Linked DNA regions of Daphnia pulex. The protein of the gene in region 2 binds, or shares a complex with, the protein of the main gene of each other region. Links are inferred from orthologs where the notes say so. Each region holds a gene or a part of one and is shown on either strand. Other genes may lie near its edges.

The links.
Region 1: the proteins of peroxisomal membrane protein PEX14-like (region 2) and peroxisomal biogenesis factor 19-like are in contact, whole or in part, in an NMR structure (PDB 2W85), measured with the Homo sapiens proteins. The link is inferred for Daphnia pulex from reciprocal best matches to the Homo sapiens genes PEX14 and PEX19. Residues at the interface, in NP_004556.1 of Homo sapiens: Leu28, Thr31, Ala32, Lys34, Phe35, Asn38, Ser39, Arg40, Val41, Ser44, Thr48, Phe52, Lys56, Leu58; in NP_002848.1 of Homo sapiens: Gln67, Phe70, Phe71, Leu74, Phe75, Ser77.

Annotation. Positions count from the first base shown.
Region 1 is NC_060022.1:6,085,273-6,088,787, reverse strand, and holds peroxisomal biogenesis factor 19-like, read right to left. Parts: upstream 2,246-3,515; 5' UTR 2,089-2,245; coding exon 1,986-2,088; intron 1,921-1,985; coding exon 1,595-1,920; intron 1,524-1,594; coding exon 1,332-1,523; intron 1,265-1,331; coding exon 1,061-1,264; intron 1,001-1,060; coding exon 902-1,000; 3' UTR 787-901; downstream 1-786. Other genes in the region: DNA-binding protein Ets97D-like, read left to right, coding at 1-66, 127-303, 381-745. UniProt on the Homo sapiens protein: Necessary for early peroxisomal biogenesis. Acts both as a cytosolic chaperone and as an import receptor for peroxisomal membrane proteins (PMPs).
Region 2 is NC_060028.1:9,567,942-9,572,318, forward strand, and holds peroxisomal membrane protein PEX14-like, read right to left. Parts: upstream 2,802-4,377; 5' UTR 2,097-2,801; coding exon 2,025-2,096; intron 1,868-2,024; coding exon 1,721-1,867; intron 1,654-1,720; coding exon 1,490-1,653; intron 1,424-1,489; coding exon 1,199-1,423; intron 1,111-1,198; coding exon 789-1,110; 3' UTR 580-788; downstream 1-579. UniProt on the Homo sapiens protein: Component of the PEX13-PEX14 docking complex, a translocon channel that specifically mediates the import of peroxisomal cargo proteins bound to PEX5 receptor.

The DNA of each region.
Region 1 (3,515 bases), on a different chromosome or scaffold from region 2:
CAAAAGATCCAAACCATGATCTATTCTGGACCCATCTCGAACTACTACGAAAATGCAAATTTGTCGGTATTGAATCAAAGTTTGAATTTTTACGATAGCAAACGTGTACTAAAAAGTTTTATGCAGGGGTGATTCAAAAACCAGTGCCTTATCTTCAGTATATCACAACTCCATTGACAGTTAAATCTGATACTTCCAGAATGCCAAGACCGCCTGTTAAAGTTGTTACTCCAGCAAAAAGGATTCCCCTTGAAACATTTTCCTCGCGTTCGTTCTCGATTGCTAACTCAGGAAACCGAACAGGTATTTAAAAAATATAGTATATGTATGCTTTAATGATCAAGGTGATTTTAACTTGAATTAACTTGTCCGTTTCACAGGCAGCAATGGCCAGGTACAACTCTGGCAGTTTCTCCTTGAGCTGTTGACCGATGTGAATTTCCGGGATGCTATTTCTTGGCTTGGGACAGGAGGAGAATTCAAATTAAATAACCCCGAAATGGTGGCTCAACTATGGGGAGAAAGGAAAAACAAACCACACATGAACTATGAGAAACTCAGTCGAGCCCTGAGGTATTATTATGATGGCGATATGATTTGCAAAGTAAGCGGTAAACGATTTGTGTATAAATTTGTTTGTGACCTCAAACAACTGTTGGGCTATTCGGCTGATGAACTTAATAAGCTTGTAACAGAGTGTGAGCAACGATCCAAAATGAGACGGGCAAGTTCGTCATACGTGTAAATACAAAACGTATTTGTTTAAATCATTGAGAATTGACGCCATTAATGATAAAATTAAGTTGTAATGCCGTTCAAACAATTTTTTTTAACGACCTTCTAATACCTTTTATAGCCCAATTTCAATAACAAAAACATGTTTTATAACATACTATATTAATTACATAACAACACAATTTTCGGCACCAGGTCCCATCGATTGAGCAAAATCCGCGCCACCGAAGGGATTCGGTAGCAGTTCAGCTTCACCAGCCAGTTCCTTGAAATTAAGATTTTTCATTAAATGAAAATCAATCAAATTATTCGTAGTCGCACTCACTTTAGGGGGATGGCCACATTCTTGCATTTGTTGCATCAAAGTTAATATCTTTTCAAAGCGACTATTTTTCGTCGCTGCATCATCAGTGTCGTTATCATTTTCGAATTCGGTACACACTTGCTGCATAACGGCGTATTGGCGGTTGTATTTTTCAAATTGCGCAGGTTCTAATTTCGGCCGATTGTCTGCGAGCCAATCTGGGTACTAAGGAGATAACAATAAGTTATGAGAGACAAGATTGACTATCATCAGTTCTCAAGTGAATGCTTACCTTGCTAACAATCTCTTTGATAGATGGATAAAGCAACTCCTTTGATAACAAACTTTGAAGCATTCCTTGCATTGCAGGTAAAATGTCACCCAAACCTCCCATATCTCCACCAGCACCATCTCCAAATCCCCCATCTGGTCCAAATGCCATTTTTTCAAGCATTTTGGCTAATGTAGCTTCATCAGCTTCAGTCTATGGAAAAAATAAGGACATGTTAAAGTAAAAATAAAAAAGTTTGGTTTATCCTACCCACAAAAATTTACCTGAAGTGATTCTGTTCCTTCTGCTAAATAGCGTAGAGTATCAGCAAAGGATGCTCCCTGGTCTGGTTGTCTTTCAAATACTTTAGCTGCAGCTTCTTGTGATACCTTTAACAAACTTTCAGCAAATCCAGAATCACCACTGGCCCCTGGTGCTGTTTCTGCCATCATCAAACGAATATTTTTCTCAAATTCCAAACTCGCTTCTTGAATAAACTCCTCAGACCACACAACATCTGATACTTGATCTGTAGGTGCTGCTGCTTCGGCTTTAACATTGTCTTTTGTTTTGGGCACTTGCAGTGGCTTGTCAAATCCTTCCAGGGCATCTGTTACATTTAATGAATGTTTTATTCCTTTGTTGGCAAATAACTAGTTAGTTTAAACTACATACCGTCAAGTAAAGCGTCTAGTTCTTCGTCATCTCCTTTAGATTCTTCTTTAATATCTGCCGTATCTTGTACAGACTTTGGATCATTAGAACCGGTTCCACTCATACTGAAATGTATCTATTTACAGCAAAGTACAGAATTGTATAAGTAGAAATAGATTTCGATATCAATAATATCGACACAGGCTTCAAAACTTGCTCATCCGGAAATTTCGACAAGGAAAAGAGTGCAAGACCAGACAAGACGACGAAATACTACCTCATAAATAAAACGCGATGTTGCCGAAATCATTCGGTATTTAGTGATGGTTCGTGCGTGCGTGAATGAAGCAGATGCGCTTCATCATGATTCATGAATGCTTGTTTATTAAAATTATATTTGGCGTGAAAAATGAATTAAAACAAATCACTTTTTTTTTAGGTTTTGAATTTTGCGTCTTTATTGGGAGAGTAAAATGTATTTTTTGTTCTGAATAACAGAAGCGACTGCTCATTCATAAATATTTTCTAAACCTAACAGTAATATTTCGTAACATAGTCAAAATCAAAGATTTCCATTAGGGCGGTTGCTTTAAGCTTAGTCTTGCTTTAACAAATGAAAACAGAACATCGAACATGTCGTTATATCCCGTTGTTACCAGTCGAGCAGTCGTTACCATCCCGCCTTTGCTTCAAAGTTCAAATCAATTTCACTTACCTGCCAGACCCAAATTAAAAGCTATGAAAGAAGGAATTTTGAAAAAGTACGTTCAGTTGGTAAAGGTAATATGTCTTCCGACAAAATGACAGTAAAAATTGTGATATTCTATAACGTACACGGTGGTCTGCCTTGCCGCAATAGTGCTTGTCCATTGCTGATACCAAAATCAATACATGAGTAGTAGTTTTCACTGATCCTCCAATATCTTGCTTCGTTTTATTCTTCCTCTTCTCTTCTTCACGAATTGCTGTACTACCGATTCTGGAATGACACATCGCGAATGTTCACCAAATCAAGAAAATTCACCATCTAGCCTACCTGGTATGATTTCGAGATGGTGGAGTCATTTTTTTTTTTAAGGCAAACTTCAATTGCTTAAAAAAATAATTGACACATAATGTGTTGAATGCTGATAAAATGGAAATTCAAGTATGAATCAAAATGAGTGAACTTAAAAAAATGCAAGTAATGCATCTGTATTTCATTCATTAAAAATGTAAACATTCAACATGACCTGCACCAACCCAATTTCACCCCTGATACTAGTTAATAAAAAAATTTTGGTTTTAAACACGCGATCCATATTCTAACAGAGTTTTAAATCATTTTAGATAACAGCTTATAGCTGTAACGGATTAATAACCTTTATGTGATAAAGTTACAGGACGAACATTTAGGCTGCAATTTCTATTGGTAATGAATTCGGCTGAAGTTCGTTTGGGGGACATTTTTACTCTTTAAAAAAGACACAGTTTAACCACTGTTAAACGAGAACAAATGATCATAGCCAAATGATTCGTAGCACCTCCTAAGTACTAATAAGACCGGGGAAA
Region 2 (4,377 bases):
CCGGCACATACCAGCTCCCTCACTTCTGCCCACCTCCCTTATCACCTCTGCAGCCAAGTCTCATTCCCTTGCGTTTATTCACTTTTGATCAGTTTCCAGTCGATCAACAACTCTTAACTGCACACTACTGAGGAGCCCTTATTTGACCGATAGGTATCACTACAAACGGTCCTCAGATGGCCTCAGTTTTCTCGTTGCGTAATCGACCGGCCTTGTCTTTAACAGACACAACAATTGATATGACGCGTGTGCGATTGGATGGATTTGATGTGGAGTGTAGTGTGCTGAGAGACTAACGACAATATTTTTTTTTCTTCTTACAAAACGTGTTGTTCATGATTGGTTGACCCTTCTATTCTCTTCTTACACTTTCCTCTTCCAGTTGACAGATTTATTGTTGAAAGCAATATGGCTAACCAGGTGGAATCAACAATCTTTAATTGTGTACAGTGAATACTCTTCCTCTGTCTCTTTCTTTTGATTATCTTATCCATTTCGGAAGTGTGTGAATACATCATCCCTTTCTACCCCTTGTATCGCTCACCCTACCAAACAAAAGAAAACAAAAAAAAACAAGACTTCTTTTCCCATTTTTTATCTTAATGCCCCGAACCCGACGAAATAAGTAAAAGTCAATACATGGACTAGTTGATATACAGCTTGAAATTTTAACTCGATCACCGATGCTCATCTTTTGAAGGCCATCAACTAAAGTATTTAAATTTCACATTTCTTTCCAACACAAAAGCAACAGGCATAATATTAATAATATGGTTAAAATTGGCAATTTAATCTGTATCTTCTTCCCCAGATGCGCCAGAAGCTCCCATTTCAACTATTTCGGCACTATTGGATTCACTGCTCTCGCTCGGACCACGAGCTGGTAACACCGAGCTCAAACCAGCATTCACCATCGACGAAGAATTTGTTTGCATGTCCTCTACGGAGATGATCTCTGGGGATGAAGACAGAGAAATGCCATCGCTTTGATTGTTCTTGTTAGATTGTTCAGCACGTAGATCTTGTTTTGCTCCACTAGTTGAGCTTAACTGCCAAGGGGGAATAGAGGGAGGCCCAGTCACGATTGCTGGAGGAGCAGGAAACTGTCGCCTGATGAATTTCAAATTCCAATAATGAAATTCCAATAATTTTACATATTCCTTACTAATCAAAATTATAAATTTATATGACACTTTACCTTCCTAACAAAATGGCTTTCAATGATGTCACTTCAGCTTTTAACTCCTTCAATTCAGATTGTTCGTGCTGTTTTGAACGAAGCGTAGCAACTGTGTCTGATAGATTCTGTACAGCAGCAGAAACGTCGCCGACTAAACAAGTGAGGTTCTTGTTCATTTCTTCAACAGTGTCTGCCAATGACTTCTTCTTTTTATGGCCAAATAAAAAAGGCTCTATGAATCGCCTAAAAGTAAAAGAAAAAACCTTAATGTTTCCAAACTAAGAAATTAGATAAATAGTTGTTTCTTACCTGTACAAATAATGAAGGCTATATGCAGCTCCTGCTATAAGGACTGATGCATTTAGTATATCCCTGATTATACTCCATTTTGATGTTGCAACTGGTGCCAATGATCGACTATATTCATGCAGTTGGGCTACTTTAACTGAAGAGTAATGTCCTACACCTCCCTCCTTCAATAAAAAAAAATCGTAGAATCCATCCTTTTAATATATATGTGCCTGGATAAAAATGACATACTGATTTGGTTTCTTTCATTCCAGAGGCCTCAAATGCTGCAGAAATTTCAGCATGGTTTAATCCTTTTCTTTGCAAAAACAATTCTTTTTCTGACCTGGGACGAGTTGCAACACGGGGGTTTTGCAAAAACTTTACAGCAGTGGAAATCTGTAAATCATACACACAGAATCACAGTTGTTTACACATTAAAGAAAAACCATGTTCTAATCATTTACACTGCATTGTACCACTAATGTGATAAAGCATTTTTAATAAACTAGAAATGCATTCAAAAGAATGTTTACAAATTACAGTTACCACTTACCAGGTCTTCGCGTAAAGGCTGTGTATTTTCTTTGAGGGAATCTCCGTTGATTTCTTCACCTGCTTCACTCATTGTGGAAATTAATCGAAGTTTCAATTCAGAAACGCTGAATAATCAGCCAAACAGGCATGTATTATCACGCAACCTTGGAAATTTCAGGTGGTTCGGTTTGTTGTGTTATCACACTCAGGAAAAACAAGTGAAGGACGGAAATTCATGCGGATGCTGTTGAGCTAATGCTGAAAATTATTCGTCTGCCACTCATGTTGAACAGTTGAAGCGAAGATTTCACGGACTCGCGTAGACGGCGTAGTCATTATTTATGAATTAATGGTAATTAGTAAGTAGTAAAAAGTGGTTTTTTAGAGAGTGATTTTGCTATTATTTAAATCTCGACTAGTCGGCCTTAATTTAAAAAGCAAGAGAAGGATACTATAAAAATTGTCTTTCAGTTCAGCCATCCACTTTATTGAAAATTGACTACTGAATAGAATTGTAGCAATTTGCATATACAATAATTCATCTTTCCAGATATGGTAATGTAACGTGAGCAATGAAGGAGGAATGATAGTTGTGTGGTGTGATCATGGTATTAAATACGTGGTATATATTGAGTTACAGTAAAGAGTTTACTGACGAGTTGGACCACTTCACTCCGCTGTGACAGTCACTCACCACGGGTGCCTAGGTACCCGACAATTCACTTATTTTAATATATAATTACTAATAATCTACTAGCTTTAAAAGCTGTGTCTGAGTCATTTCTAATTCAGACCCTCTTTGAGAGTCACGAACGAATTGTTTGTACGTTTCTTTTTTCTAACGCTAGATGACTTTATCATAAGCCTTTGGTCATTTTCAGCTGTAAAATCAAATTAGTCAGTTTCAGCTAAGCTATTTTGTACATATCTGTAAAAATAATTCCAGCAACAAAGCTCACTTGTTAATTTTTCGATAATTGCATTTTTTATTTCAACTAAATCTATTTCACGGAGATGACGAACATTTGGTTTGTCTTCCGTCTGACTTTTGTCGTCCGTGACTCCGTGGTCCCGTGGATGCTAAGGGCTGTCACTAGGTGGCCAAATAATTCAATGTGTTTAGGGATTGAACTATTCAGCCCTAGTGTGTAGAGGGATGAATGGGGGCGTTATTTAAGTTTTGACTTTTGAGACGACATTCTAATTCCTCTTTCTTTTAAACTGTGACGCTGTCCGAGAATAGTGACTCTAGTCATTGCTGAGTGCATTTTTCTGAAATTCTTCGTCGAAAAAGGTAATTTCTGCGTTAATCTAAGGTTATTAACTTTAAATATTTTGTGTGGTGAATTTACGGGGTTCGTGCCCTTAGATTTATCCTTGGTCATATTGCTGTACATTTTCTTAAATATCTCTTGCTGCGTGTTGCACGTTTCGTCTGAGACGTCTATGTACAAGTAAAATTGTTGATTATCTCTTAATTCCTATGACTCTTTCTGAATTGAAATTCCTTGATATGTAGTAATTGAGTTAATATTTTTCTATAAGCAGCATTATGGAGTTTGAACTGTCTGAACATGTGTTGCGTGCACGTTATCGCTGTCTTGTCATGAAAATGCGTCCTAGAGAAGGTTCTTCCATATTGAATGACAAATAAGGTGAAAAGAGGAAATCTGGAAAGGTAAAAAAGTTACTCTTAAGCTGAATTAGGTAGCATTTTGTTCTTGATGTCGGAAAATAAGTGACATTATTTCTTGCTTCCATGACAGCAGTTGTTAAAAGTTGCCAGTTTGAATCAATCGGTGGGCAAGCATTTTGCTCAATCTGTAGTCTACTATGGATGCTTCATATGTTCTTTGTTTTGAATATTAGTTGTATATTACATTTTTGATAAAGAAAGAATCCGACACCTACTTCTTTTCAAGTAAGACAGCTTTTGTGAAAACCAGCTAATAGAGAGATGTAGACTTTTTTATGACAACAGATTTTTTTTTCAAATCTGAAAATGTTCTCGGCTTATTAATGTCCTTTTGTTTTGTAGGATTCCTTGGTCAGTTTGGTGTTTGAGCTGTCGATGGTGTTGTCTGGTGTGAATCTTGCAGTCATTTTCCATCTGAGAGCTTCCCTGTAATGGAACTTGTATGAATTTGCAGTTGGACATCATACTTAAGTCTTTTGGTGGTGTTCATGTAATGTTGCACTAATGTACAGGTGCATTTTTTGATTTAATTTGATAATTGTGTTTGAAATCTTATTTCTCATGTAATCAATGTTATTGGTTCACAAATGTTTTTTGCATTGTGCTTATAGGTTTTCATGGACCGTTAAATGATCGAGCTGTTTTGTTGGGGCTGTTTGGGGTGCAGTGGTTTTCC